Tribolium castaneum: one gene and its partners. The protein of the gene in region 3 binds, or shares a complex with, the protein of the main gene of each other region. Links are inferred from orthologs where the notes say so. Each region holds a gene or a part of one and is shown on either strand. Other genes may lie near its edges.

Region 1 (4,325 bases), on a different chromosome or scaffold from region 3:
AGACAGATTCAGTCAAGGCATTTTTAATGAAAAATAAAATGGGTAAATTGCCACCAAAACCCAAGATTTTCCAGAATAAATTGTAAATTTTCAGGGCAATATAACGAGGAGAATATAAAAAAGAAAGAAAAGCAAATGTCAGAGGAAAAACAACTGGCAGAAAGCACGCCAATTGGTTCAAGATGCAAAGTTACTGTAGCCAATGCTCCCTGCAGACTTGGCACTGTGATGTACACAGGGCCTGTTGAGACCTTACCTGGATATTGGATAGGGGTCAAGTATGACGAACCTTTGGGCAAAAACGATGGAACGTAAGTTACGACCATCAGTTGAAAAAAAATTCTAGCTTTTGTTGCAGATTTAAAGGCAAGAAATATTTTGAATGTGCTAATAATTATGGCGCCTTTGTTAAGCCACACAACGTTGAATGTGGCGACTTCCCTGAGGAAGATTACGACTTGAACGAGGAAATATGATTGGTAACAAGCATTCCAAATTCGCAAACGAATTAATTTATTGTTTTTATCAAATTAAAAATTATTTATCGTAGAGCATTTTAACCTTTACCCTCACGATTTTACATCTAGAAAATCGTAAGTTTTGTGCACTTCTGCGATTATTAATGGTCTAGAAATGTCAAATGGTTTGATTAATTTTCGGAAAATTTGATAAATAATGCAAAGTTGGGTAAAATTAAAACTTTTTAGTAGCTCATAAAATTTTATTTATTATTTTTATAAAAATACAAATTATTTTAATCATAGAATTAGAATTTCCTCCGTTTCAAAATATCGGGTTTCCAGTTAATCGGATGCGTTTCTTCAGTCGCAGTTTCATCCTCTTTGTAGATTTTGATGGTCTTGTCAGCTTCAGTTGTGATTAATCTTGAGCCAGAATTGTCGAAAATCATTGAGAATATTCCAGCTTCACTGTCCATTGACCCAGGTTGTACTGGGGCCTAAAAATGTAACATTAATCGATTGACTTCCTTCAAAGTTACAAAAATTACTTGTAATCTTTGGAAATTGTAACCGGTCCTCCAATCCCAGAAATGTAAAGTTCCATTATCGCCCCCTGAAACCAGGACGCCTTCTGGATTGACAGCGAGACAATTAACAATAGCATTATGACCGGACAAATTCTGTATGAATTTCCCGTCAGGACATTTCCACTGTTTTATGTTATCGGGTGAGCCCGACGCGAACATGTTCCTACAAATAATAAAATAATTACAAAAAAAATAATTAAACAATCGTACAAAGTCGGGTGGAGAATCACATCTCTAACGCTCTTTTTGTGATTGGTAAGCGTACAAATTGATTTCCCAGCTGCCAGGTCCCATAATCTGATTGTGGTATCATGAGATCCTGTGATAACTTGAGGTTCGGAGGCTTGCGCCACCACGCTAGCTACAGTATGCGTGTGGCCGGTCAAAGTGTGAACATTTGCTTTCGTCCTCATGTCCCAAACCCGGGCTGTTGAATCACGCCCTGCTGTTAATAAAACATCGATTGTGGGGTGAAGCGCTAGAGAGTATACAGCCGATAAATGGCCATGGTAATGTCTAATGACTTTGTTGTACTCCAAATCCCAACACTTGACCTGTCTGTCTTCACCGCAACTGAACAAATAAGGGTGTCTACTGCTCACAGCCAACCCTCTGACCGTGCTCACATGCCCAGTTAGGGACACTTTCAACTGCCCACTTGCCAGGTCCCAGATTTTTATTATTCGGTCCGCTGCGCCGGTCGCAAACCACTAACAAAAAAACGGTAACAAATTTGCTGCCAACAAAAATTTTATACCTCATTTCCTGGCTCCACCGAAACACACCTGACCCACCCCAAATGCCCCGCAATCACCCTGTATAGCTTCCAAGGGGCGTGCCATTTCGGCTTTGGCATTGTGGGGACTTTTTTCATTAAATTGGCGAGCTGGTTTTGTGTGTTATTTTGGACGCTTCGTGTCATCAAACTTGTGTCAGTGTACGGTACAACAGCCCCCTCGGTGTTTGGGGCCGCGTCGTCAGTGCGTGTGCCCGGTGGTGGGGGGTTTGGCCCAGCTTCTGCCTCCCGTAAGTGCTTCATAGCTTGCATTTTCTTAACGTCGTCAAAGACTAGGCCGTACAAGTCACGGGCTTTTATGGCTTTTCGCACCATTTCGCTATTTAATTCGTAATATTAAGGGCTGCTTGTTTTTGTGGTTTGTTACTCACGCTTTTTCGTCCACTGATGGCAGTAGTCCCTGGTTTGAGAGAAACATGTCGTGAGACCGTTTCAAGGAACGGAATACTAACGTATGTACGGAGTGTCTCTGCACGTCTTCGGTCATTGTGAAGACGAGTATTTAACTCCGGATATTTACTGAATTGTAATACTAGTAATTAATCTTCGGGTAAATAAACAAAATCGTACTTAACCTCTCTGCAAAAAATCACCAAATCCACCATTTGGTAACTTTTGGTTCGTAGAATAGACAGGAAAAGAAACTACTATTGACTCAACCGTGGAGGGAGTTTGAGTTTTTTTTTTTTTTAACCAAAAAATAGTTAATTTCCATACCAAATTGAATTGAATTTCTTATTTGGGTAGTTTTGGTCACAAAATAAAAGCACGCCAATTTTTTTAACATTTGTATTTTTCAACAATTATAAAAATAGATACGAGTTGTTTCACTTATAAATATTTCGTTATTAAGTCTACAATAAAATACATAGTTTTTTGACCACAAAACGCATCTAGTTTTTATCTGTACAAGTCCCAATGTCAACATTCCTGAGCCCAGATAAAAGCAATATTACACAAATTATTTACATTGTGAGTCGACTACAATAAAGTAGCTTTGCCTAGTGCCCCACTTTGCAGCGATGTGATTAAAAATGCAAACAGAATTATATAATGCAAAGAAACTTAATCCAACGGAGTGATCTTGACTGAAGATCCGCGAGATTTGCGATACCTTTGAAAGTCTCCTGCCTGGTAAGGTAATGCCCTCATATTACTTCTATAATATGGTACATCATACGGAGATATGTGTAATTGATTGATTGGTGGTGACCGATTTCGCCACAAAACCGCCAATAAAGAATAAAATCCACAAATGGTATTCGAAATTAAAGTCATAAAGTTGACAATAATTGGGGTGCAAACCCTGATAAGTCCTTGCGTTTCACGCAAAAGTTTCAGGAGATAGTCTAGAAGGTACTTGATGGTGTGTATCAAGAAAGTGATCAGTGTTGATAACAAAAGAACCATAAATATGGTGGCTTGTTTAATGTTGGGCCAAGTCAAGGTTTCAGTAAACAAGTTCCTCAACTGATCCTTGAAAAACTCCTGAAATTTTGCACCCAATTCACCCAAATTCTTCTGAGAAACGTCTTCAAAAATCTGAGTGGGAGTTATATTATGAACTGGAGTCTTCTCTCTGACTGGCCTCACAACTTCAAGCTTGACTCTAACTTCATTGTGGAAGAATTCAACGTTTTTGATTTTGTACCAAAAACTCCCAAAAACCTCTTCGTCCAGACTCACCCACAAATTGTAACCTGCCGGGGCCCCGATTGTTTTCGGCTCCGTGATACCAATCCACACATTTTTGGTAAAATGCTTCAAGCAGCGCTTCCTCACTGCTTTTAAATTCGCAATAAGGTCGTGTTCATCGTCGCATATTTTAATTACATCGCGGTACGAGTTCAAAGGTTCAACCAGCCTTTTTTCCAGAAACGTACCGATAAATAGGGAGCTCTTGAGCATGTGTTTTGCAAATTTGCGCACTCTTGTCTCCTCGTCATCGTCGGAAAGGCTTGCAGACGAATTTCGGCTGATTTCACTGATTTTTGTCATTTTTTACAACTGGGGTCTTGACGTGTTTCTAAGAACTGTTACGTAAGAACTACATTTGTGTACTTCCCCCAGTTACTTACGGGTGCTGAGTTGTCCAAACATAACAGATCAAAAGAAAAATACACTTATTTGCAACATTTTATTTACCAACAACTGTCACTTTTTTGACGTTACGTGACCCAGTGACATCTGTTAGGTATTAATAATAAATTAATTAAGAGTTTTACAACAAGACACCAACTTATTTTATTCAGAAACTGGTGTAAAACATTAATTTAATTAAAATGGTCCTCGTAAAGCTTGCATAAATTGTTAAATCAATAAATTGAGGAATGTTTTAAACCCGGCGCCGCACATCGAGTAACCAGTTGCCCAATGCCAGCAACCTAATAACCGCGAACGTTCCCAGTTAACGAAGTTTCTTTGAATTTGTGTTGTTGACGAAAACGCTGTTTTCAGCGTTTTATTTTATAATTTCCGTAA
Region 2 (4,851 bases), on a different chromosome or scaffold from region 3:
CGCAACGTCGTGAATCGCATAATCAAGCCTTTTTCTTCCAAGAAAAACAAGCAGAAGACAAGCACTTAGAACGCTTTTTTGGTAGAAGTCATTTTTTGTTTCCCTTGATATGAATTCGTAGAATTGTAAGGGATGCTTGGGAGATCCGAATGGTTGGTGTGTGTGAGGGCTTTTAGGGCGAGTGTGAAAGATGGGAAACATGTGTTAAAGATGAATGCCGAATGTCTGGATTTTTTAGAAAATAAGTTAGTCTGTAACTGGCTTTTGTAGAGTAAAGTGAAATTAAAAGGTCCTGTTGAGAAAATCGTCGTTTAATTATCCTATAATCCTGACGTAATAAATTATAAACTATAACACCCTGTTTATTGTTGTAATTTATGATTTTGAAAAACTCTACCAACCTTTAATGTTTCATTCTTTCACACATTTTGTGTTAAGAGTTTATACCGAAAAGACCTCTCTACTTTTTCTATCATTCCGCGAGAACCGAATGACACTAATGATCGTTCTCTGTGCTGATGTCAGGGTGACACAAGATGATAGATAACTTGGATTCAACTTACAAATCATAATTTAAATTGGATCAAAGGCGTAAATGAAATACGTTTTTTTGGGTTGCATCGTCAGATCGTCAGGCTGCATATTTTATCTGAATCACCCTGTATTAAAAGTCGCTGTTCCTACAAGGTGAGCGTGCCACAGGAGCCACCAAGAAGATGTAATTACAAATTTTTTCGGTCAAATTTCGAAAATAGGACGCGTTTACAATAAAAGCGCTATAGCTTTCTATCGTTTATCGAAGGTTTTAGCCTAATAATTCTTCCTTTACGTTCACAGTATTTTTTTTTGGATTGGTTACTGTGGATACTATATAATATACGATATATTTTTTTGACCTAACTTTTTGCTCCAATTGTAAGGCCCCAACAACCTTACCTGACCTGACCTGACCTGACCTGACCGAAAAATGTACAAAAACATCCGAATAACACTAACATAACATCATTTACACGCTTAAAAAAAGTAGAAACAATAATTATTTACCTAACGAGTTTGGAAAGTGCAATTTCCCACATGAGCACTTTGTTTGCGAAGTGCGAATGTGGGAATGGCTTTCCAAACAAGTTAGGTACAATATTTTTTGTAACGAATCTCTGAAAAATTTTTTTTTTATAATTTAGTTTTTTTTGTTAATGGGTTGCAGGTCAAACAATCAAAAAAAAGACATGAGCTGTCAAGTATCATAAAGAAAATAATCGTTTCCGTCTCAACGGTAGCCAATTAAAAATCCCTAGCCATTGTTACAAAGTAAAAAACACCGCAGTGCGGGAAAGTCCATTTTCCACACGCTGGAATTTGGTAAGTTCCTGAATTAGCATTTTGTCATTAGTATTTGAAAAGTAGAAATATGTTCCAAAAGAGAAACAAAAATGCCATATTTGACTAAATTTAGGTATTTTATTAAAAAAACATGTTCACTCATGAAAAAAAAGCACGAAAGATACCAATTTTTAATAAATGCAATGATTTTTTGGCTAATTTTCGACAAAATGAAGCAAATAAAACACATATTTCAAAAAAAAAGTTCAGAAAGCTCGCTCGCAAATCTAAGTTTTACAGCAAAAAAAAAACACACAAATAATAACATTCTCAAACTAGTTAATTTTTCGGTTCAGTTTTAGATTAGAAACAAGCTTACAATCTCAATAACATATTTTTTTATATTACATGATGTTATAGAAAATATTCTCGCAAAATTATTTAAACTAATTATTGTTTCCGACTAAAACTTTTGGACCTACTTTATTAGTAAGCTTCTTGTTATAGTAAAATGTCTGGCTACAAAAAAAATAACTATTTTAAACTCAATTTTGTGATTTCTCAACTTATTTATAACAAATTTCGCGCAATAAATATTGAAAATTACGTAAAAGTGCCACAATTTTTTAGCTCAGAAATATGCTTAATCCCACATGAAAAAAACTAACGCCATCACGTTTGAAAAAAACATCCAGATTACACAGAAATTAACCTCATTTAGTGTCTTCTTGCCCTGTATGTGTAATTCTCAAAAGTTCTAATCTTAAAAATCCGCTTAAACAATCGAAAAGTAGAAAATAATATTTTTAATCCAATTTGGTGGTCGAAAAAGACAATTTTCTTATTTTTTTGTTAAATAAAAGTAAATAACGTGAAAAAAATTATAACTAACGTAAGTAACGCTTTGAGGTAGTAACTAAAAGAATAAAAATAAATGTAAAATTGGAGCTGACAAAAATTTGCGTTTAAATAAAAAACTACCGCAAAAATCTAAATTACAAACCTAACAGCATTTCAGTCTCCTTTTTCTTTTCTTTCTCCTTCAACCTGTCGTTCTTTAATACTGTTAAGACCTCATCTGCTGCACCACAAAGAATATCTCTTGGTTGATCCCCCAATGCTTCTTGCAAAAAACTCAAAAGCACTTCATACGTTTGTCTAGTTTCTTGCGTTTTAGGTCGATATATTATTCCCACCATTTCATCCACACCTTCTGAAAGTAATGTGGCCCCCTTCATTCGGGCGAAATCATATTGGGCTTCGTCACGTTTTTGCCTCCTAAAAAAACAAGTTCAAATAAAATATTAATACAATAATTGTTAGTGCAACAACTTACTTAACTTTCCGTTCTTCTGCTTTGCCGGGTCGAGTCCTCTGTGCCCTGTCACCCATTTTAGTCCCCGATAGTTTTCCAACAAGGGAAACAACTTCACCTGTAGCCTCATCTCGACTTCTTCTCTCAATCAGACGAACATCAGCTTGAAGCACGAGATTTGAGTTCTACAACAAAGTTTCGTGTTGTGATAAACAGAACGTAACCTAAACGTTGACGCGTCGTTGATGAAATCAACTCATTTTGCTCCCGAATAGTAATTCTAACTAATCACAAATTTAAATTAGTGTTGTATAATATGTTTGCTTAATTGTAGAGGTAGTAGCAATGCATTTTTTATTACTTACAGCTTTATATTCGTATTGAAGCTGCCTTGCCGCAGCATCCGCCATGTTGTTAAACTATCCACTTGTGATGCACTTGTGGCTACACTGGCCGCAAGGTCACCAACTGTGCGTGAGCAAAAGTTCTAGTTCACTTTGAAGGTTGCTTGCAGAAAAAAGGTTGTTTGGGTGCATCACGGCCTCCTAGATTGATAAATGATAAAAAAGACTTTCTTACGTCTCTTACACGGCACGTCGCATGTGTCAAATGTCTGTTTTTTAACCAAAGTTCCACAAAATTCTGTATGTCACAGCTCTCTTGTGGCGATTTTAAGAAACATTTACAGGGAACTGCAAAAATGATAAAACAATTTCACATTTTCAAATCAAATTTAACGATTTACACTATTCCAGGGTTTACACTTTCCTGTCATTTTACAAAAATTGGAGAACGTTGTGCTTACACTCGTACCTCTCGGATAAAGTTAGAAACAACATATTTTTGCAATACATTCCTCAATGACTGTAAATTCGGACGTACACCCGAGCTTTAGTTTTCGCAAACTAAAACGGAGAAAATTCGCGACATTTGACTTAGCGAGCTTGGTCCAGCGGTTCTGTAGTCACTATAAAGGTACAGATTAGAGGCATAGATTAAAAGTGGATTAGAGATCATTGCGACGCCATCTGCAATTTCATTCATAAATAGTCGAGTGGCACATCTGCCTTGCCCTTCGACCTTCGTTTAGACTGGGCAAATTAAGATTTGTTGTGAAGCCAACATATGCAAGTGGGGGAAATGATCGATGGTACGCGAATTTGACCCTTAAGTAACCCTTCTCTGATTGGTTTACTCAAAATATTTCCAAGTGTTTCGTTAATATTCGTCAAACTTCGTGCAATCTCGATTGTGATTAAAGGGAAAAATTATGAATTTTGGGCTTAAATTTACCTGTGAATGGGTAAAATTTGGTTCTTGTGTCGAAATATACAGGAGAAAGTATCCACAAGGGCTTATTCATCGATCATGTCATGCGTAAGTTGGAAAATACACGTGTTGATCTAAATATGGAAACATACCAGTGGTGTCGTTACGTATTCTGATTTTCCGCTTTGATACTGAATATTTTTGAATATTATAACTCTGACGGCATGTCATAAGATAGAATTAGAAGTATTTTAGCTAAGGCATTTTTTTAAACTCGAATACATAAATTGTTTCAGTAACTTGTAATGAATGTTTTTTCAGTTGTTTGCCCCTTGAATACAAGCTGCCATTGAACAAGGAGTTAGCTTCCTCTGACCCCTCACTCCCCTCGCCGTGATGTTGGGTTCAAACAAACTGCCAACAAACTCGCTGTATGGCGAGTCTATACGACATATGGTCGAAGGCCTTGCTTTAATCTGTGACAAAGGTAGATATGCCCCGATCTCCACCACGCGCGCATATTGCAGTAACTTTAAATTACAATAACTTGGTAAGTATTACAGATATCAAAATGATTCTTCCACCAAAAACTTATTTCAACTATGGGATCATTTCATCTCGCATATGTGGAGGTCTATCTTTTAAAATAAAAAATTTTTTCGCATCTCGAACATTCCATAACACAATACAAAAAAAATGTAATTTTCTTACTTTGCTTTTTGTAAAATCTAAAGCTTGTCTATATATACGTTAGAATCTACATATATTGGGGAAGCTAGCGCAAAAAAATGAATTTTCTTACTTTATTTAGAAGGAAAATATGACGATGTAAACACAAATTTTGCGCAATTTTAGTTTTTCAAAAATTTTCAGAAAAACGTCTTTTTCATAATGAAGGCAATTCCAAGTCAAAAAGCGACCTACAGATTTAGCAGGAAATTCTTCGT
Region 3 (3,328 bases):
GTAGGTACCAAGAAATTAATGAACCCAAATTTATTCATTACCAAAAATCGAGCACATAAATACCAAAAAAGCTTTAATTTAGACATCACTGTTATGCAGGCTTGTAATGTTGGTTGCATACTCGATGGCAAGCAATTTCTATATTTATTTTGATTTTGAGAAAATATTTCTTATCTCAAATCTGAATGAGTGATAATGTTTTAGCTTTAACTTTTTGTATTGAAAGTAAGAGAATGTTCCTAAATTTGTAAAATAATTATTAATATAAAAAAAATTGAGGTTAAATAAAGTGATAGTCCATCTGTTTCTGTATTGATAGTCAGTGTTTAAGACCACCCGAAAAATGGGGCTATCTTTAGGAGAATGTTCCGTCATGAAGGAGGTAATCAGTAAAACGTTAATTTTACCAAACTCATTTAACCATTTGTAGATAACAAAAACAGAAGAAGCAATCAAAGCCTGTTACGTGAGGGTCCAACTTTTAGAAAAAAAGATCGAATCTGATGAAATCCCCAACGAGAAAAAAGCCGACATGAAGAAAGAGTTACGAGAAGTTCGCAAACTTTTAACCACAAACGAAAACCAACTTTCACAACTCCACAGACACAATCGAAAATCATTCGCATTTGTAGCCGCCTTCTGTTTTGTTTGTTTCACAGTTTACGTTTTATACATTTTAGTACAAGGTCCCGATTTTTAATAACAAAGACATTTTAAACCTAAATATGTTTTATTGATGAATTTAGCAGAATTATAAAAGTTTTACAAATACTGGAACTAAACGAAAAGATTCACACTTACAATTACGAAACTTAATTTAATGAACGTATTCTTATCTACGCCCTCTCCCTCTGCCCCTGCCTCGGGGGCCCCCTCTGCCACGGCCCCTCCCGCGGCCTCTGGCAGCCCCCCGGGCGCTCTCCTTCTTCTTGGCCTTGGCTTTGGGGGTGTCGTCAATCAGCAGAGTCTCGAGGGGTAAACTATCGGGCAAAATGTAGTAACGAATGTTGTTTCCTCTAACTGTTAGGGTGTCTAAGTTCACAGGATTTCGGTTCTTTACAGTCACTTTTACAGCTTTTAAGTGCGTATTCATGGCCACATCTACACCGGTTATAGTGCCATGGACTTGTGTGCCGTTTTTCAGCTCCATTGTGACCGTTTCATGGCTCAGTTTCATTAAAAACCTGAAAATGGCCGAAATGTTAGGTTAGGTGGTTTTTCAGGAGTTTTACTTGGAATTCAAGGAAATAAAAACGTGTCTGATCAATCAGTAGTTTACGTTCTCACCTTACTAATTTCATGTTGATATTTTTGGTGTAATTAAGACAATTTTTATATTATGCCGGCAAAACACGCTTGGCTTACGTTTTTTTACCCCCCCTCTTCCATAGAGGGAAAGAGAATGAGCATATAAGAAAGAGATGGCAAGAAAACTTGCGAAGGGAGCGCCACTTACGTGGCGCCAATTTTAAATCGTTATTTTTTTTATAGGTTTGCAGATAATTATGGACTCTGAAAATAAAAACAATTCTTTATTATTTACTATTATCACAGCTATTATCAAAATAACCTTGCTATTGGCACGTAGTAACAATGAAATATTTTGCTTTATACAGTCGAACTTCGATCACCCGAATAGGCCGTTGCCACTTCAAATCATCTTTGTAGAATACAGTGGAATAATACTTTTGTTGAGTTCAAGTGATTCCTGTTATTATAATATGAGCAATTTTTTTAACTAATCCAACAAAGTGTTTACCTTAAAAATCTCAACTCTCTCTAGTGCATCTAGTGTTCTTGTTCTTAATTTTTATTAGTTGCGTGTTTTTAGTTAATTAATTAATTAAACAAAAATTCGTGTTATAAAAATTTTTCGAATTCAAAATTTGAAATTGAACAAAATAATTGGTGGAGTCGGTTTATCCCCGTTCGGGTGACAGGGGTTCCACTGTATGAATACATTTTGCGGAGAAAAATTTAAGATTAGGTCGATTATATAAATTATATGTTAATAAGAAGTTAGAAAATACTTATCTGAAAAGTTAAAAAAAGTAATTTTTGACTTGTTTTCGCCTAAATTATAACTATAACATGAGAAAGATACGTTTTTAGTTTGACAGTTTTTGAGTGAGGCTTCAAAATTGCTGAAATTATGTGGACACGATTATAATGGGCAAAATTAGATTATAGGATAAGAGGGTTAACCTACAGAAATTTGGGCATAATTATTCACTGTACATAATAACCCCACTCTCCCCTACCTAAAGTATTTGAAAAACACTTGTTACTGATTAATTTATGTTATTTATTACAATATTAGAATAGATAACACAAAACTAGTAATAATCATTTTCGCAAGATCTCGGGTCCGGTCGCAACTCTGACCTCTGTCGAAAGAACTGAAAAATTCCGGTTAGTTTTAAGTTATCAAATGACTACGTTGCAAGTACAAGTTTATTAGTACAATTTTATTAAAATGTTACTTAAATAAAACCATTTTTACCCAAAAAATTTACAAAAAGTCATTTTTGGATACAAATTTTCTAGTTTTACTTTTTTGAATTATGTTAAAAGACTAGGTGGTTATTTACCAGTGAACGATCGATTATGAAATTTAAATAAAAAAAAGGATAAAATTGGATTATGAAATTAATAATAAATTAGTGTGACTCAATAATTATTAATTTTTTGTGGCAACAAGCAGTGAAAACAGTGAAAACACTTGGCTAAACTAATTAGTTACAAACTAGATTAAAAAAAGTAAGTTGTAATATTTACAAGTTTATTTTTTAATTCGTAGGTATATTAAAACTGTCCGTTCCTGCTCTGATGAGGTCATTGTAGAAGAAATAAATTTTTTTTTAAATTATTCTTCGAAACAAGAAATATTTTTAAAAAAGGTATACTTGTACAGACTGTTCAAAAATGGTTGTTCAAGTCGACTAAGGAATTTAAATTCATTGAATCACTTCGTTTAAATAACTTATAATCTCTGCATTTTGCATTTTTCGGTAAGAGACCGGAAGAAGAGATAATAAAATATTTAAACATTACCAAAAAAACTCATATTTTTTTTAATCTCAAACCCTCTTTAACCACAAACTTATCAAATAAAACGAGATCAAATACCACAAAAAATATAGAGGAAAGAATAAGAAAGGCTTTCTATAGAATTGATCATGCTACATTAAATAAAGTGGTAGTCAATTTACAAAAAAAATTAGGAAAGTAAATGTCACAAATAATATACAGGACGCTCAAAAACTGGCGCACCAACATGTTGAAAACATGTGTGGATTACGGAAAAAATCTGAAACTAGAACTTATT
Region 4 (4,886 bases), on a different chromosome or scaffold from region 3:
GGGAGATGTCAACTGACATGATTTTACCGTCGTGACCTGACAGGGTCTTCAACGGTTGCCAGGTCCGATTTGTCCACAATTTCGCCGTGTTATCGTACGATGAAGTAATTAGGTAATCGCCGCCGTCCCTTTGAAACTTCACCTCCGAAATTAAATTCGTATGAGCTGGGATTGTGTACAAGACGGAACGTTTGCGCAAATCCCAAATTTTGCAAGTGTTGTCTTCGCTAGACGTGGCAATGTGGTAGCCATCAGGGGAAAAATCTATCCCTAGAACCGCCTTTAAGTGACTCTCCATGAACATGATGCATCTTCCGGTCCTCAAGTCCCACACACGTCCAAATGAGTCTAAACCACTGTTGGGAAATTAATTATTTGTCACAATTTACCAAAAGTATTTACCCTGTGGCACAGACCGATCCATCAATCTGGAAGGAAATACAATAGACAGGTTTGACGTGTCCTTCCTGGTGTAAAACTTCGGTGCATTGCTGCAAATCCCACAATCTCCAGGAACAGTCAAAGCAACAAGTCCCGAGAAACCTTCCAGAGGGATGAAAGCCCAACCGGGAGACACGATGTGGCATATGGCCCTCGATATCAGCGATCGGTTCCTCGCTTTGAAAATCCCACAATTTTACTGAACCATCGGCTGCACACGATGCCATATTGCAAATATTTTCCTCCTGGCTGATTGTTGCTCTAGGGTGGAAAATAATAGCACTGGCATTACAGGCGTGACCTTTCAGGGTCTGTTTGAGTGTGCAGTCGGGCACTGACCACACTTTACACAACCCGCTCCTTGAATCAAACAAATAATTTCATTTCACTTATTAAATGATAATTACCATCCAGCTGTGGCTAAAAGTTTCGAATCTGGACTAAACTGGCAATAGGCAATAGGTCTCGAATCGCCAATCTGACTCGAATAAATCGACATAATCTGGAGTTTTTTCTGTATTTCCTGCTTCTTGGCTGTTCTAGTAGCCGTTGATAAATCCTTCGCTTTTCTGGCTTCCTCAAGCCGGGCTTTGGCCCGCGGCAGTGAATAGTGCGCTATCCATAATCTGGCTATTCGCAAACTTTCGGGGCCTTCATGATACCACGTTGTTTCGAGATCTTTTTCGAAATTTTTACGTTCTTCTTCGGCTTCGCGTCGAATGACTGCGTCTTCACCGATACGACTTAGTATTTCACGGAGGCGTGAACGCCGATCTGCCGGTCCTTCCCCGAATAGACAGATCGGTTCTCCCAATTGGCGAAGGTTTCGTTTCACTTCGGCGTCATCGGTGGAGACGTTAATAGAGCGCGCTTTACGACGACGCTCGAATTCCTCCAAGAGGGCTTGCTTGTCGCGGGACATGGCGTCCTCAAGCTCCATGTATTCTGAATAAATTAAACGTAACAGTATTTATTAGATTCAAGTGAAAGATTTTAACATAAAAACAGGCACCTAAGCACGCATTTTTAATAATTGTGTGATAATTGCTGTTATATAAACATTTTTTTTATTTACCATTCGTAGGTACACCTACAAACTGTTCTTTTTAAAAAGCAAAAATTATATAAAGCTGGGGCCTATGGCACAACTTTTTTCAATTTAATATTATTGTGCATTTATGGCATTAAAGGAGTTCTAATACGAATTATTTATTTAATAGCGCAATAAAGCATTTGATTTAATAACACCGCGGCTGTCAGTTTCAAAGCCAAAGTGCAAGTTAATCGCTGTATTAAACCTGATTTTTTCCTGAATCACTCAGGTTTTATATTTTTTTAAAAATCTGTAATCATATTATTTCGCATGACAAAGCAACTCGAGTCAATATGTGAACCTAGTTATTGACTGGGCCGTTAATAAGCCACTCTTGAGCGCTTCAAATGTCACTAAATGTCGACTGGCAAAAAATTTATCACAAGAATTTGGAGAAAATATTGGCTACAATGTTGAGACTTTAACCTTCTGCTTACCAGCTTTTTTTGAGATAAATTACGATGAAATTCATTTAAACGATCAGTTACAACGATAAATTTTACTCTTAATACTCTCATGTAATAAAGATACCAGGGTAAATTACTCGGTTTTTTATTTTTGAAAAAATAGTAGTTCATAAAGGAGTTTTAGCAAAATCAGTGGCAAAACTGTTAAGATAAAGTTAACAATATACTCAAAAAATGGAATACAACTGGACAGGTGGAATTAGTTTTACTGGTTGCATCAGATTTCAGAACTAACTCATGACTGACTCACCCTGTATAAATAAATAAATAATAAGATTTTAAGTATTCTAATAAAAAACTTTGATTCCATGACTCAAAATTTGGTTTTACAGAAATTACAAAAAACAGAACCTGGGTTTTGAGCCACGAGGCTCCATTAAGGAATAAGAAATATATAATGTACCACTTGTACTAGATTTTTCGTGAATATTTTAGCGCTACATTAAACTGATGTTGACTTGAGCTTTAGCTCATTTGTGTGCGAGGTTTTGGCATTTGGACGAAATTACGGATGCCAAAGTAATACCTGTGGAAATGTGAACCTGTGGCGGGTTCGCCGACGTGCTTTCGGCCTTTTCATTGCTATCATCGTTCCCATCGCCGGCTGCTAACCTAGCTCTTTCCGCTTCCTCCAACGAGCCGTAGTGAATATTTTTGGTTTTTTTCACGTAAGGCGCGTCCTCATCGTCGGACATGGTGCTAAAAATTGAGCAAAAATGAGTATTTGTGCAAGTTAATTCGTAAAAAACGTTTGTTTACATGTTATCACTGCTATCGGTTCAAAACGTAACGTCAAGTTGACATTTGTCGCAAAAAAAGTAACCAAAACCGCCTGGTGAGTTCAGTGTAGCCAACGGCAAGTTTTTACGATTTCTTCCACAAAAGAAATATTTCTGTTTTCTTTACATAGCGTTTTGCTATCTCTGTCTAAATTTTTTTCCAAAAAATTCCATGAGAGAGAGAGATTATCAAGTTCGGTCCGGAAATCTTAGTAAATGTACGATGTTGTGCCGCGGAAACCGCCTAAATAGCCGTGCAATGTCCGTGCTGGTGTTTTGTGTGCGAAAATCGTGAAAGAATCGGTGAATTTGTGCGAAATCGGCGCGACGACCGATCGTTGAACTTGAACAGTTGATAGATTTTCTCTTTCTTTCCCAGGCTCTGAAAAATCTCAAGTTTATAAAAATAAATATGAAAGGCCTAATTACAGTACAGTCCGAGTCTGTGTCGGTTTAATTTTTGACCCCGTTTTGGATCTGCGTTAGTCGAGTTTGGTGCCGTTAGTTAGGCTGAAAAGCCGTTGCTCTCGACAAATATTTGTGTGTGACGAAAAACCTCGACAATTCCCAAGATTTTTTACGCGAGAATTTTTTAAGACGTGCGGTATTGATTTGCCTTAAAGGCTTGGCCCGGCGAATATACGGACTATACATGGTTTATAGGGGTCTTACGTGGTTTCTATTGGCTCACTGACTCATAAAAAACTAAGGGACACATTTTTTGTCGGAATTTTCCAAATGACTGAACATTTACATACGCGTCTCCAAATTTTTGAGAAATCCTCGGCCGGACTTTGTATTGTTAAACCTCGCAAAAACAGTCGACTTGCGGATGCGTTGTGCCGTGCCAGTGAAGTGGTGGTGATTTAAAAAACAAACGCTCGCCCAAAGGCCCCAAAACCGACGAGTATTGATTATTTCGAAGGTCTCACGCTGGTGACTCATTACTTTTTGGTAAATTCGTCATCTCCAACGCGAACAGTCGGAAGGAAGCTGGACGAACATAACCAAAAATGCTGCCTCAACAGTATTGTCTAAGATGGAGGTACCACCATTCGAACTTGCAGACCATGTTCTCGCAGCTCCTCGAGAAGGAGGCCTTCTGCGACGTCACCTTGGCCTGCGAGGGGCGCACCATCAAGGCCCACAAGATCGTCCTCTCCGCCTGCAGCACCTACTTCGAAACCATCCTGTCCCAGTACGAAGAAAAAGACCCCATCCTCATCATGAAAGATGTCAAATATGTAGATATTAAGTGCTTGGTCGAGTTCATGTACAAAGGAGAGATCAACGTCGACCACGTAAGCCCCCTTTAAAAAAAGCAAAACCCTTCAATTTTTCATGACCCCATGAGAAACTCCACTTGGCCCGCAAACTGCCAACAATCGATTCTCCTCGCAACGTCAATAAAACCCTAGAGTTCCTTTATTGGGAGAGTTGGGACACTGAACGTCAAACCGAGCCAATTTTGTATTATGTGGATAGGGTATATATTTCTATCCTTTTTTATTAAAATTTTTGTTAGTAACTTATGTCAAAGGTTTATGTCGAAAATAATTTCAAGGTTATAATTTTTGTCAAATGCATAAAATGACATAATTTTACGTCAAATTTAACCAGGGACGTAGGAAACGTAGATATTACCTACCAATATTAACGTTCACATTTCTGAAATTTTTCAATATTTATTTTAATATTAAATACATAACTTAAAACATACTTCAATGCTAAAAATGCTTTTCTTTCAGTCACAATTTTTAGTAAAACATCTCTTCCCAAAAATTGGTCATCAAAAACCCTTCATATTCCCTGTCGTCTTTTTAAATTTTCTAAAAAATGATATTGAAGGTGTTCTCGTATGAAAAACGTAACAAAATCGTGAATTCCCAATAACTTTACAATTTGAAACAGAATCTAAAGTTCACGTAGATGCTAAAAGCGGCCAAGCAGCGACAGGTTCAACTTTCCTAAAAATTAGAACCAATTTTGGGTTCAAGTACCTACGTATTTTGTAAATACATAGACAAATTCCCAAAATCTCATAGATTTTGTACATAACATTATTTAGACGCTCAACTTTTCCAAAAGCTTGTTAATAAAAATGTA
Region 5 (4,852 bases), on a different chromosome or scaffold from region 3:
TCCTCATAAAAATACCTTTGATCGGATTTATTGTTTTTAACACGATAGCACCAATTTACTACACAATGAACAAAAATTAGTGACACACAAAATGACAGCTCGGACCCGACGAAACTGCTTGCCAACCTCGCCAACAAAAACCACCAAGCCTTGTTCACCCAAATTTTCAGTTAAAACTAACCCAAAATTAAAATTTTCACCCAAATTTGTCTCATTTTAGCAAAAGCACAAACACGCAATTTAATTAACACCCACATTTCGTCAAAAAAAATGCCAAAAGTGTGGGTTTGACTAAGCGCCAAATTCAAATCTGGTAACTTTAAGGAATCAAACACAAGTCACAAATAAAAATATTTATTCAATACAATTTATGTACAAAGTAACTTATCTCCTACTCTTATGCTTCCTCTCGGGGCTCCTACGCCGCCTCCGATCGTCTCGATCGCGTGACCGTCTCTCATTATGTCTGTGTTTCCTCGCATCTGTTTTTCGTTTTTTATCATCGTCTGATGCTTCTTTTGTCGGTTTTTTCCTCTTCTTTTCTTCCTTCTTCTTACGTGGTTTCTCATCTTCGGAACTTGACGAATCCGAATCACTACTATCGGAACTGGATGAGCTTGAACTGCTAGTGCTACTGCTGCTAGAATCACTTGATTTTTCAGTAATCGTCAAGGGATTGACTTTAGGGGCTGTTTTCAAATGTTCCCTCAACTCGGCCGTAAGCCCCCCTAAGCCAATCGACGTGAAAAAATTAATCGCAAATCTTGTATTTTTGGGATCATCGCGCGGAAACAGCCCCTCAAAATGTGGCTGAAGCGTTCTGAAAAAAATCCAAAAAATTAACAAAACCTCGTTAATTATCAAACACAGTCACTTACGCATCTTTAAGCCTGGCATTTAACTTCTCCAAGCCCATATATTCGGCCAATTCCTGGAACAAAATCTTGATGAAAATCCGATTGGAACTATTGGTATCCTCTTCGTTCAGTTTCATAATTTCTAAAACCTCCCATCCAATCGCATCGGTGAACAACAAATGTGCGAAAAACTTGCTAACATTTCGCAATTTATTTGTGTCAAGTCTGTGTGTTGTGGCGTACGTGTCTTTGAAGATTTGTTGGAATGGCTCGACATAAATCTGATTCACTTGACAAAATCTCTGTGCCAATAATCCGTAAAACTTCTCGTAAGTCCGTTGTTCGGCACAACAGTCGAGGAACATGTGGCATAATTCGATTTCTTGGCCCGGTTTCAGTTCCATTTTCATTAGTTTGTGGGCACTTTCCTCAAAATCTAAACTTGATTGGATGGTTAAGTAGATTGTTCTGCGTAGGGCCACGAGGTTGGTCTCCGTATTGTCGATTATGTTGGATTCGTTCTTTTGGGCGCCTTCTTCTTCCTCTTCGTCCTCGTCTTCGTCGTCTTCCTCGTCACCGGACTCTTCCTCCGAGCCGGAGCCCGACTCGCTGTCCATGTCCAGGATTTCCTTGCTCAAAGTCTTGTACTTCCCCTCGTTTTCCTCGTAGTTGTCGTCGAATTTAAACACATCTAGACAGGATAATCACAGAGTGAACGAGGCAAATTAAGGAATTAATTAATTAAAATTTCAAAATAATTTTTTCTGAGAAATAAAAAAATAATAATAAAAAATCTCAAAACCTGGATACCCCGATTTTTTTGTATAAAAAATTAAGTACAGTTCCACCTAATTAAAAAGTTTCCTTACTTAAAATATCCTCAGCATTTGATTGCTTAACATCATCCAGCGTAATCAAATGTGTAAACTGGTGCTCCTCATCCACCAAATCCAACTCTTCAATAACAGCGGCATGATCCTTAAACCCGTCCTTCCTGATTTGGAACATAACTTCAATCATGTACTGAATCCTCGGTTCCAACTTCCCCTCATGTAAAATATTCCTCAACATTTCAAAGATGGCATTAATGCCTTTACTCGAAACCTCAGTCAATTTCTGTCCACATTCCTTCAGAAACGAAATCGCAACTTCAACCGAATCATCAGTTGGCGTCTCCACCAAAAGAGTCAAAATCTCCAAGGCGAGAATTTCATGCGCAACCCTCTGATTAACCAAATGAGCCACAAAAGTCGTGGCCGAAATGCAGATAATTTTATTATTCTGCTTGAAACCGCGCTTGAATTGCAAAACCAAACGTTTCAGTAACAATTCTCCAATATTAGGGAATTTCGAATTGATGACAGCGACCAGGGCTGCGTACACGTTTGTGAAAGTTGGGGACGCAGCTTGCGCTTGTATTATGGACTTGCAGAGCAGTCCGCGCCCCCTTACCACATTCTCATGGAGCAATTCCCGCGAAATAATCCCAATGTTGGACGTATTCACCTTGTTAATAAACCCATGAATGGATTTTTTTAACGCCTCCCACGCAATTCTTTGATACGCCGCCGAGCTCTTATCAGTAATCTCCGCTTGCATCATCCGCAGCTTCGCTGGAGGGATGTAAGCCCCACCTGTCCGTGTCAGTAAATCCACGGTTTTGCGCTCACGGGGGGCTATCACCGACTTATCCGTCTCCTTCTCAGACTCTTTGTCTTTATCGTCGGGCTCGCCCCCGTAATACCTACTACCCACCTGATGGTCATCCTTGCGGGGGTATTTGGTCCAATATCTATCGCTGTTTTTCTTGTGTTCTTGATCCTCGCCGTAATACCGAGGGTATTCTTCAAGGGGGCGGTCCAAGTCGTGGTATTTGCGACTTTTGCGACGGTCTCGTGAACGCGAACGGCGGGAACGCTTCCGGGAGTCTTTATGGGGCGAGTCGTCACGACGTTTTTTACGGGATTCAGGGGATTTGGAGCGGCTTTTACGCTTGGGTTTGGGCTGTGGGGAGGTTTCGGTGTCGGTGGTCATTTTTTAAGCACTCACAAAAACACAGTAAGAAATTGGGGCGATTATTGACAACACACAACAACGCAAGAGGTTGAGGTTATGTGGCACTGGTGATAATGACAAATTCCCTACTATTTTTGAATTTTAAAGTCGCCAGATTTTTTTGTGCATTTAGAATAAATTATAATTAATTATATGTACGTGTTTACGCAATTATAACATAACTAGAGGGCCAGGAATTGGTGGTTTTATTAATTCCAGACATATTTGAAAATTTACAGACTTACTAAATTAGTGACAAATCTAAAATTTCAAAAAAATTTGAATGTGATTTTGGGGGTCACGTTTGCCTAAAAAATATATCACGACCTGGGAATTTTGGGATTTTAATGATCTTTAAATGTTAAATAAAAGAAAACTAGATGATGTAACGTTTAGCTATTGATAGAAAACAAAAAGTACCTACATGGAAGTAATTTTGGCAAAATTTGTTACTTTGGAACCTTAAATATTGATTTAAAAGTTCAAAACAATAAAATTTTAAGTAGAGCATGTCTGAAAAGTTTGCTATTTTTTTCTTGTATTGTGTATTGTTTGTTTGTAGATTAACATATAATACGTGTTATATTTTATGATAACATTTCAGGCAATTGAGAAGACAAGATATGATATTGTAAAATTGTGAAATAGTCAGAACCTTATGGTTCTCAGGTCGCGATATTTTCAGAATATTTACTTCGACAGCGACTTTTAATGTGTTCCCATAAAATGAATAACTTGACACAGACTTTCGCTTTTTCTTGAAGAGAAATGGCTGTTGGTGCAAAAACAAGCAAAAACCGATAATAGTGGCTAATAACAGCTCTAGCGTACAATTAAATTTTTATGGCACAATAACAAGTTCGATCAAAGATTTCTCAACAATACTTCCGCGGTGAAAAGAGCGTTTTTACGGCATACTGAAAGTGTTACAAGGTATTTTATTCAGTTTGTGGATTTTAAAAAATCGGCGCGGAGAACGATAAGGTCACGCATTTTAATTTTGCGGAATTTCGCGGAGGCCTCCCATGAATATGTGAAATGTTTGCGTGTACCATATTTTATTAAACAGTTTGAACAATAAACAGTGCGAATGCAGCGTTTTCGAGGCATCAAGGTCACTGCCAAGTGAACTTAAACCCAGCTCCAGCTGTTTCAAAGATCGACCAACGAAACCAATCCGTACAAAAGAGCCCGAGGCTGCTTTATGGAGAGTACCCATGCTATAGCAATTCAGTTGGTTCTCAACCTTTCGGTGCCGATACCGTGCGCGTTCTCCTCTCCCATTTTTCCAAAATTTTGCCCAATTTTTGGTACTTTTTCTAAGTAAAAAAGCGTGCCGGGTTGGTGTAGGTGCTAAAGGTGCTGGGCCCAAGGTTGCGACTTTTGTTAATCATCTTGCTTGGAATAATTACAAGTGGAACTTGCAGTCATGGTAAATAATTATTTCGCACAAATCGCTCTTTTTTTAGAAATTAATTGACCACTCGCTTGAGTAGTTAGGGGAAAGAATTTTAATTATAGTTTTGGGTGCAGTTCCGATAAAAAGGTCACAAAAGGGTTATCGTAAAATGCGCAACAAGACCGAAAATAAGGCCTCCAAAAGTCGTCTCGTTGCTCTAATCGCAATAATGAGTAAACCTTTTAGTGGTCAACTTATCGACCCAAATAAGTCATTAAAAAACCACTTATCGTTACTCATTTTAACATGTTTCTGCAATAATTACTAATTAGTTTTCGTCGAAAAATTGTATTGTATTTTTTTGGGTCGTGGAATTATGTAAACGTGATGTCATTTGTTTAACATTTAAAAGAAACATTACCATAAAAATATTATGCACCTCCAAGCATTAGCATGTGTCGCACTAAAAGCTAAAAATATCGTCTTTATGGGCGAAGCCTTCCAGAGGCATCAAAGACCTTTCGGTGGCTGCTTCCGAAAC
Region 6 (3,389 bases), on a different chromosome or scaffold from region 3:
CCATTCATTATGCGGAAAGATGAAGCTAGAAAACAGTTTTATAATTCGAATTGCCAGCTGCCGGCCAAATAAATTTAGACTGAATTAATGGGGTTACGTCAGTTTAATTGACACCTGTCAGGCGAATTGTTTACAAAATTGCAACAAGTCAACATTTTTGCAACCGCTGATCGCTGACCTCCCACTTAATTATTGCACCAATTTCCAAATATTGGTGTTATCAAGATTAATATTCAATTTAATTTCAATCGCTACTGATAACACGCCTGTTAATAATGTGTTAACTTGGGACAAATTTAGGTTATGAGGCAGGTGGTTAGGATAAGCGAAGCGTTTGTGTCCTTACCTAGGTCATCCATGGTAATAAGCTGCCGTTCTAATACTAATTTTAAGCAAAACTTCTCAACTACATCACGAATTATCGGCACTTTTTAGGAAAATGACCTTATTTAGGCATTTTCGCAGAATCACAAATGTCAAGATATGAAATTCCAGACGGTCAGTGTAGGCAACCTTGAAAGAAGTAAACAACGGACGGGCAGCGCCTCTCAACAAGTTTTGCAAAATTTTAAAAACCAAAATTTTTTTCCCGCACAAACCTTGCGAATTAACTGACTGAGTTGCCCCCCGTATCTAAGTGACTTGATAACTGCGTAACGAAAATTACGTTAAGTTATGATTTAATAAAACATGATAAGAACTGATAGTGATAAGGACGTCTAAGAAGACTGCAAAATCCAGCACAAAAATAAAATTAAATTCGTTGCTCTTGTTTTTATTTAACTTTAGTCACCGTTGGTGAAGTCCCTGATCGGGAATCCCCACAACCCAGAGATAAAAACCATAACAAGAAGATAAAGTCATAGACCCCACAGGTCACCGTATATAAATGCAGAAGTTTATCATCTCGAAGGTTACTCGTGTTGTTCCATTAAAGGACGTGCTAATTAAATAAATAATTTTAATTTTGCATACAAGGCAAAGTTGAATATGGGACGAAAGTTCGTGATTATTTTCTCAATTTTGCACCAAATTCTGGCTCGAACAGGTAAAACCACCGCTCAAACCCCATCCATTGCTAAATGAGGTGTTTCCAGAGTCAAACTTGCCGGCAGTGTGCCCCGAAATCGTGAGTCGCACTAGATGGGGGGCTCGCACTGCTTTGGAAGTGGATTACGCCCTAATCCCTGTCGAAAACGTGGTCGTGCACCACACGGTGACCAACACTTGCAGCACTGAGGAAGAATGTGCGGCGATTTTGCGAAACATTCAGAATTTTCACATGGAAAATCTAGATTTTCACGATATTGGATACAAGTAAATTTGATGATTTTTGTTTTTTTTTTTTTAATTATGGTTTAGTTTTTTAGTGGGTGGTGACGGCCAGATTTACGAGGGCGCAGGTTGGCACAAAGTGGGGGCGCACACACGTGGGTACAACTCCCGGTCTTTGGGGCTCGGTTTCATCGGCAATTACACGAGTAGGTTGTTTTTCGTGTTATTTTCGTACTTTACGAGCCTTTTATTACAGCTCAACTTCCAAATAAAAAGCAGATACAAGCCGCTAAAGATTTTCTCCAATGCGGGGTTGAGTTGGGAGAGTTGGGCAAAAGTTTCAAACTGTTTGGGGCCCGCCAAGTCAGCGCGACGGAAAGTCCGGGCCTAAAGCTGTACCGCGAACTACAGAACTGGCCGCACTTTACCAGGTCCCCGCCGAAATAAACTGTATTCTAGTTTTTAAAATAAAATTATTATAAAGCATACGATTTTGAATTTAAATATGGCGCCCATTAGTCGCAAGTTTGAGGTTATGTTGTTTTGATTATTCGAGGTTAGGGAACTAAAAACCGTAAAAATGCCGAATTGGGACCAAATTCAAGCCCAGTTGAAGCACCCAGCGAACCCGGTCGTGTTTTTCGACATTTCCGTCGGAACTACGGTACCAATAACCCAAAATTTCCGAAAACTGTATTTTTCGATTACAGGAAATCGGCCGAATGATTTTCGAGTTATTCGCAGACGCGGTCCCCAAAACCAGCGATAATTTCCGCCAGTTTTGCACCGGCGAGTTCCGCAAAGACGGCGTGCCGTTGGGCTACAAGGGGGCTAGTTTCCACCGAGTTATCAAGGACTTTATGATCCAAGGGGGCGACTTCGTCAATGTAAAAATCACGGGATGCGATTCCGCAACTAATTAATATTTTTAGGGCGATGGGACCGGCGTTATGAGTATATATGGGGGCGGAACGTTTCCCGACGAAAATTTTAACCTAAGACATGACGGTCCTGGACTTCTATCAATGGCAAACAGCGGCAAAGACACCAACGGTTGCCAGTTTTTCATAACTTGTGCAAAGTGTAATTTCCTGGACGGCAAACATGTGGTGTTTGGACGCGTTATTGACGGACTTCTCGTCATGCGGAAAATCGAAAACGTGCCCACGGGGCCCAACAATAAGCCCAAAATCCCGGTCACAATTGTACAATGTGGCCAAATGTAGTAGTGTAATTCAAATTTTAATAATAAAAGCACAAAATAAAACTTAGTTTAAATTTTTATTTTGTCAGGTTGGTGGTCCCATAACCTCACTTGTCAAAAACGTAAATAATCGTGAAATGGAAAATAAAAAAATATCGTTCGGTTTCAGCAAAATTAGTAAAAAGACCGAAATCAGGTCAAGTGTTCCGAAACCCGAAAATAAGATACAGCTAATTGACTGTTTAGAGGGTCAATCAATTAAAATAAAAGGGTATGTTTCGTTTTTGAGGTTATGTTATTTTTGCCAAAAACCTCATTTTAGTGCCGTTGAGGAGACAAATGAGCCGTTGGTGATACCAATCCAAGGCCCATCAAACAAATTAATAGACCAAATAAAAAAAGCGAGGGAAAAACACGTCAAACCTGAAGTTAAAGAAGAGACAGGGGAGGCAAATTCTGTGCCAGACTCTGCCCTATCTCTTGACGAATTAGCGGCAAGAGAGTTAATCCGAGGTACTTACCCTATGTTTCAAGTGATTTTCTAGTGTGAATAAAATTTTCAGAGGCACAGACTCGCAACACTGTACAAAGCGAGACAAAAGTCTACTCCTTGCCTTTAAATGACGACAAGTTTGTGGCAGAGGGGGCACAGGAGTCGTCTCTCGACGACTACGAAAGTGTACCAATTACAGATTTTGGTATGGCGATGTTACGTGGCATGAATTGGAAAGAGGGAATGCCAATTGGGAAAAGGACCAAAAAGTTGGTTTAACTTTTCTAAAACACATCCTGAAAATGATTTTTTCTAGATCTGAGGTCCCAAAAGTCCCAGAGTTGCGCCCCAAAGGCCTGGGCTTGGGTGCCAATAAAATGGTCAATTCCAGCACCCCTTCACAAAGTGTAGATAAGG
Region 7 (4,908 bases), on a different chromosome or scaffold from region 3:
CCTAAAACTCAGTTTTTTCGAGAGATTTTGTTGAAATCAATTAACCAAGAAATCATTAAATTAAGACAAAAAATGAGTGATTTTCAATATGTAAACAGATTTGCGAAAATGAATAGGTAATCGGAATTATTAATCCCTTTTTTGTTTATTAATTGTTTTTAATGAAGTAATTATTTTTTAATTAACTTCTTTTGAGGTAAATAATAGGGATGGGTATGGGAAAGAAAAAGTTCAATTATTTTTACTTAAATTTATTCACGAGCCGCCGCTGTCTCGCACACTCAAACCCGTCTTCTTATCTCACTTCACCCTCTAATCTCCGCTCTAATCTCCGACACGATTAAAAAAAGATGACCTAAACGCCACCAACACTTCATCTCACTCTCCCAGCCTCGGCACCCAATTAAAACAAGTGGGGGGAGTGGGAGTGCCCCCAATAAAACAATCAAATCAACAAATAACAATCGACTTTATCTCCTGCCAACTTGATTACATTGTGACATTTCGTAATGATTGCAACTCGCGTCCACGACCTACTTGACCGTCGAACAAAACAAAACACCATCACATCGTCTGCTTAAAATATTCTACATAAATATTAAACAGTTTAGTTCCACATTGTGCTATATATAGACCTCGAAATCGTCACAAACGTCACACGAGTGCGAGAGAGACGCCAACTGTGACGTGGCATCACGGCCAACTTCAATGATTCACACATAATCACATAAACTCGATTTTAGCCGGGAATTGTCGAAAGTGCTTGTGCGGCGTTGCCACATCGCACAAAACTGGGAAAAAAACGCCACAATCGGGCACAACCACCACAATTTGCGACCCGATCAAGGCGGCCGCGACTAACAAACGACAGTCAATTAACAACAATATTAAACAATTAAAACGCCTCCTAAAAACAGAAATTTTACCACAAATAAAACGTCCTTTTTGTGCCAAAGCCGCCTCTGATGTTAATTTCCCGACACGGCCCTTAATTTGCCCTTAAAAAAATAGGTTAGTTTGTTTAAAAGTCACCGACCTGCCTATTTCAGGCGCGGCCAATCGGAGCCAAGCCGGGCCGAACGGTGTGACACCGGCCACGCCCCCACGCTAAGCGCGACCAATCACGCCGTGGTAACTCTCAAACGGGGGGAACCCCGACCAATGGTGACAAAAGGGGCGTCAGTAACGGTTTAGGAGGTTTTGTTGCTTTTTCCATACCTCCTCAGTCCTCATACTATTATTATTACAACCTTGAATTTGATAGTGTTGTTATGGTAACAATAAGACGGTAGTTGGCCTCGGGTGAACTTGACCCCGCCATTGCCGGTAAATGGAAAAACTAGTGACAATTACGTCACGTCTAAGCAGGCCATGGACCCCGACAAGGTGAACAAAAGACAAACGATTGGCCATAAAACGAACAATAACGAACGTCTTGTTCTGTAAACTGAAGCAAAGCGGCTTATAAATAGATAAGAGGCCCCCTTGCTCCATTTGTCTATTTTTAGGCCCAAAATCAATATTTGCCGATTGGGCGCCATCTAGCGGAACGGTTGACCAACTTGGTAATAATTCCTGTCAATTAATTGATGTGATACTGTTATCAATTAAACCAAACGTCGCGACTAACAATTTGGTTGTGATTGTTTCAATTAATTAATAAAATTGGCTTGAATTATGTAGTGAGTCCAGGGAGTTTATTTTTTGTGGCCGCATGGTTGGTAACTCCCGGCAACAACAACCTAACCTGTGACTCGTTTGTTAACGTTTTGCAACGTTTTTTCACAAAAATCGTGCAAAAAGTGGCAAATTTGTCCCAAAAACCACTCGAATCATCGTTTTTTGTGCTCCGGTCGTGTGGATTTTACCGTTTTTGCTGTTTTTTGGGGTTATGTCGAGTCGTGTTTAGGGCCCCAAAAGCCAGAACATGGACGCGGATTTGTACGACGAGTTCGGTAATTACATCGGGCCTGAGCTGGACAGCGATGACGACGAGGACGAGGAGCCCGAGCCCCAGGAAGACGAGGAGCAGCAAGACTACGATGTGAGTGTCTCGAGGTCCCCAGAAGCCCCCTTATTGTCCCCTTTCAGGACGAGCAAATGGACGAGAGTGAGCCCCAACCCATGGCCATTGTCTTGCACGAGGACAAGCAATACTACCCGTCTGCTTTACAAGTCTATGGGCCTGATGTGGAGACTATTGTGCAAGAGGAGGACGCGCAGCCCCTTGACGTGCCTTTGATCGAACCGGTGAAGAAAAAGAAGTTTCAGTTGAAGGAGCAGGATTTGCCCGATACGACGTACAATATGGAGTAATTATTTGGGTGAAAGTAGGGGTAAAAATAATTTCACTTTTTGGTAGGTTTTTGGCCGATATGATGGACAATACGTCGCTGATACGTAACGTGGCCTTGATTGGGCACTTACATCATGGTAAAACCACGTTTGTTGATTGTTTGATTCGGCAAACGCATCCAGGGTATCAGGACTATGAAGAGAAAAATTTGAGATATACCGACACTTTGTTCACGGAGCAGGAAAGGGGCTGCTCGATCAAGTCGATCCCAATTACGCTACTTTTGCAGGACGTTAAGAACAAGAGTTACCTAATGAACATTTTTGACACTCCTGGTAATAACTCAATAATTAATCCTCCTTTAGACGCGATGTTTCGGCAAAAATTCGTCGACAAATCACCAGATTACGTAAAAAGTGTGGCGATTTTTGCATTTCTCAAACGCACACTTCTGAAGTGACGACCAGCAAATCATGAAAAGTGGTTGAAAATAATGCTGTTTTGCCTTTTTTGTAACATTTTAGATTATTTTTTCAGACAGAAAAACAACTATATTTTGATTTCATATTTTTTTGAGTAAAAATTTAGTGTTTCTCCGAGATTTCGATTCGAGTAGTTTGAGAAATCACTAAATAAAGTCAAAAAGATGTAACTTTTGCCTGATTCGAGAATTTTAGGGCATTTTTTAAAGCTAGAAACGCTATTTATTTCATAAGGTTTTCTCAAAAATTACAAAAAAATACGTAAAATACAGCAGTTTTTTGGGGTTTAAGCGCGTTTTTGTGCTAAAAACTCAATCTTCTTACGAGATTTCCCTAGAACTAGAATAGAAAATGACTAAATTGGGTCGAAAAATACACAATTTTTGGTATTTTTGCGAGTATTAGGACGATTTTAATCCAACGAGATTATTTCACTAAGTTGTTAAATAAGTAAAACATTTTTTGCTAAAACTGTGTTGAAAAATCAAATTTTTTTTTGCAGCACGTTTCTCAAAGGTATTTCGTTAAAAAAGAAGTAGCAAATGAAATAAAAAAATTAACTTTTTGAGCGTTTAAGTGCATTTTGACAAAACTTTACTATTTTACACTGTAAAGACTTTCTTTTTATTGCCGGTTTTTATGTAAATTATAGATGTGTTCTTATTAGTATTTACATTTTTCTAAGATTTTATGAAAAACACACAACAAAAATATTTACGCTTCTTTTAGATTGTTTTAGCAACGAGTAAACTAGTTTTCAACCAGCAAAGCAATTGTCTCCTAAATTTATAGCGCAATAAACCCAAAAATTGGGCCGAAAATAAAATTGTTTTGGCAAGTTTTTCAGCCAGAAATAATACGTTGTTCAAAATTTAGAAGTAATAGAGTTTTTTTTTACCTTTTAAAAAAGTGTGTGCGCGTTTTTGGCCCAAAAATGTAATAATTTCTCAAAAAAATCAGTCAGGTGGGGTCAGTATATAGATAAGCACATTTACAAATTTAAAAAGTTTTTCTTGACCACTTACGTGTGTTTGGGTTAGAACACCTTTTGTTAAAACCAGATCAAAATTTTCATCATCAAGGTGTTAATTTGCTAAATCCCACCAAGAAAACACAAAATAAGTTAAAATAATAGCTTATATTTTGCATTTTTTGAGCGTGTAACTTTAAATAAACAAATCACTAAACTTGACCTATTGAAAATTAATAATTTCTGTTCAAAATTTCGTGAAATCAGGTCGAATATAACATTAGTTTTACTGTCTTCTGGTGCTTTAGCATCTTTTATTGTTCAAAATGTTATTATTGTGTGAAATATCTCAAAAATAAACATGAAAAATAATTAATTTGTATCAAAAATCAAGGTATTTTTTGCGTATTTCTAGCTTTTTAATCCAGAAACGCAATTATTTAGCCAAGTTTGATTCGAAAATCACTAAGACTGTGTTGAAAAATTTTTTGCGTTTTCGGAAGTTATAGCACGTTTCTCAACATTATTTCAGGAAAATTTGTCAAAAAAATTGTGTGATTGATTGTTTGAGTACTTATATAAAAACAATTCTTTTATAATAATGATAAAACACTAAATTAGATCCATACAAATTATTTATGCTTTTTTGAGGTATTAAAATGGTTGTTTTTTTAACCAACAGGGTAATTAGTTCTTACATTTTTAGAGCAGTAACCAGTAAACCAAAAAACACGAAATAATTAGTGTGAAAATAGCATTGCTTTTTGGCGTTTTCAGGCGCTTTATCAATTCTTTCAACCAAAAATACTTACATTTGTCACAAAATTTCACAAAAATAAGGTATTTTTACCTTTTATGAAATTATTTTTTAACCAAAAACATAATTATTTAATCAAAAATCATAAATTTCTGAAAAAGAAAACGCCATATTAACCAAAAACTGTATTGCTTTGCTAAGAAATCACAAAATAGGTCAAAACAGCTTACCTTTTACCTTTTTTCTAAATTTCATGGCAAATTATTAGTTTATTTCTGTTTGTTTTTCGAGCATTTTAGCATGTTTTTAAACCAAAAACACAATTATTTCGCGAAGTGAGTCCAAAAGGAACATTATTTTTATTGTCCAAGTTACACAAATTTTTTCAAAAATAAAAATCCCA

What was found.
Region 1: SmD1 (region 3) and Tango4 share a complex: the UniProt entries of both Homo sapiens proteins name them as parts of the minor spliceosome. The link is inferred for Tribolium castaneum from reciprocal best matches to the Homo sapiens genes SNRPD1 and PLRG1.
Region 2: SmD1 (region 3) and Brr2 share a complex: the UniProt entries of both Homo sapiens proteins name them as parts of the U4/U6-U5 tri-snRNP complex. The link is inferred for Tribolium castaneum from reciprocal best matches to the Homo sapiens genes SNRPD1 and SNRNP200.
Region 4: SmD1 (region 3) and U4-U6-60K share a complex: the UniProt entries of both Homo sapiens proteins name them as parts of the U4/U6-U5 tri-snRNP complex. The link is inferred for Tribolium castaneum from reciprocal best matches to the Homo sapiens genes SNRPD1 and PRPF4.
Region 5: SmD1 (region 3) and ncm share a complex: the UniProt entries of both Homo sapiens proteins name them as parts of the minor spliceosome. The link is inferred for Tribolium castaneum from reciprocal best matches to the Homo sapiens genes SNRPD1 and CWC22.
Region 6: SmD1 (region 3) and peptidyl-prolyl cis-trans isomerase H share a complex: the UniProt entries of both Homo sapiens proteins name them as parts of the U4/U6-U5 tri-snRNP complex. The link is inferred for Tribolium castaneum from reciprocal best matches to the Homo sapiens genes SNRPD1 and PPIH.
Region 7: SmD1 (region 3) and 116 kDa U5 small nuclear ribonucleoprotein component share a complex: the UniProt entries of both Homo sapiens proteins name them as parts of the minor spliceosome. The link is inferred for Tribolium castaneum from reciprocal best matches to the Homo sapiens genes SNRPD1 and EFTUD2.

The regions. Positions count from the first base shown.
Region 1 is NC_087397.1:4,268,695-4,273,019, forward strand, and holds Tango4 (pleiotropic regulator 1), read right to left. Parts: upstream 2,528-4,325; 5' UTR 2,415-2,527; intron 2,364-2,414; 5' UTR 2,332-2,363; coding exon 2,216-2,331; intron 2,164-2,215; coding exon 1,806-2,163; intron 1,759-1,805; coding exon 1,259-1,758; intron 1,212-1,258; coding exon 1,010-1,211; intron 959-1,009; coding exon 767-958; 3' UTR 708-766; downstream 1-707. Other genes in the region: Tbcb (tubulin-folding cofactor B), read left to right, coding at 1-42, 95-311, 359-476; uncharacterized protein LOC656577, read right to left, coding at 2,910-3,842. UniProt on the Homo sapiens protein: Involved in pre-mRNA splicing as component of the spliceosome. Component of the PRP19-CDC5L complex that forms an integral part of the spliceosome and is required for activating pre-mRNA splicing.
Region 2 is NC_087397.1:20,448,236-20,453,086, reverse strand, and holds the start of Brr2 (U5 small nuclear ribonucleoprotein 200 kDa helicase), read right to left. Parts: upstream 3,263-4,851; 5' UTR 3,046-3,262; coding exon 3,001-3,045; intron 2,821-3,000; coding exon 2,657-2,820; intron 2,599-2,656; coding exon 2,324-2,598; intron 1-2,323. UniProt on the Homo sapiens protein: Catalyzes the ATP-dependent unwinding of U4/U6 RNA duplices, an essential step in the assembly of a catalytically active spliceosome. Plays a role in pre-mRNA splicing as a core component of precatalytic, catalytic and postcatalytic spliceosomal complexes.
Region 3 is NC_087394.1:7,020,146-7,023,473, forward strand, and holds SmD1 (probable small nuclear ribonucleoprotein Sm D1), read right to left. Parts: upstream 1,443-3,328; 5' UTR 1,302-1,442; coding exon 1,288-1,301; intron 1,185-1,287; coding exon 833-1,184; 3' UTR 712-832; downstream 1-711. UniProt on the Homo sapiens protein: Plays a role in pre-mRNA splicing as a core component of the spliceosomal U1, U2, U4 and U5 small nuclear ribonucleoproteins (snRNPs), the building blocks of the spliceosome.
Region 4 is NC_087397.1:1,344,635-1,349,520, reverse strand, and holds the start of U4-U6-60K (U4/U6 small nuclear ribonucleoprotein Prp4), read right to left. Parts: upstream 2,902-4,886; 5' UTR 2,761-2,901; intron 2,701-2,760; 5' UTR 2,697-2,700; coding exon 2,528-2,696; intron 1,387-2,527; coding exon 849-1,386; intron 802-848; coding exon 403-801; intron 357-402; coding exon 1-356. Other genes in the region: zinc finger protein 131, read left to right, coding at 3,794-4,081. UniProt on the Homo sapiens protein: Plays a role in pre-mRNA splicing as component of the U4/U6-U5 tri-snRNP complex that is involved in spliceosome assembly, and as component of the precatalytic spliceosome (spliceosome B complex).
Region 5 is NC_087398.1:673,717-678,568, forward strand, and holds ncm (pre-mRNA-splicing factor CWC22 homolog), read right to left. Parts: upstream 3,021-4,852; 5' UTR 2,892-3,020; coding exon 1,727-2,891; intron 1,549-1,726; coding exon 879-1,548; intron 821-878; coding exon 385-820; 3' UTR 339-384; downstream 1-338. UniProt on the Homo sapiens protein: Required for pre-mRNA splicing as component of the spliceosome. As a component of the minor spliceosome, involved in the splicing of U12-type introns in pre-mRNAs. Promotes exon-junction complex (EJC) assembly.
Region 6 is NC_087395.1:17,966,245-17,969,633, reverse strand, and holds peptidyl-prolyl cis-trans isomerase H, read left to right. Parts: upstream 1-1,776; 5' UTR 1,777-1,855; coding exon 1,856-1,939; intron 1,940-1,985; coding exon 1,986-2,162; intron 2,163-2,207; coding exon 2,208-2,501; 3' UTR 2,502-2,546; downstream 2,547-3,389. Other genes in the region: peptidoglycan-recognition protein 2, read left to right, coding at 991-1,048, 1,098-1,317, 1,363-1,481, 1,532-1,722; G-patch domain and KOW motifs-containing protein, read left to right, coding at 2,617-2,750, 2,802-2,992, 3,043-3,241, 3,289-3,389. UniProt on the Homo sapiens protein: PPIase that catalyzes the cis-trans isomerization of proline imidic peptide bonds in oligopeptides and may therefore assist protein folding. Participates in pre-mRNA splicing.
Region 7 is NC_087401.1:10,799,625-10,804,532, forward strand, and holds the start of 116 kDa U5 small nuclear ribonucleoprotein component, read left to right. Parts: upstream 1-1,580; 5' UTR 1,581-1,927; coding exon 1,928-2,044; intron 2,045-2,091; coding exon 2,092-2,312; intron 2,313-2,362; coding exon 2,363-2,631; intron 2,632-4,908. UniProt on the Homo sapiens protein: Required for pre-mRNA splicing as component of the spliceosome, including pre-catalytic, catalytic and post-catalytic spliceosomal complexes. Component of the U5 snRNP and the U4/U6-U5 tri-snRNP complex, a building block of the spliceosome.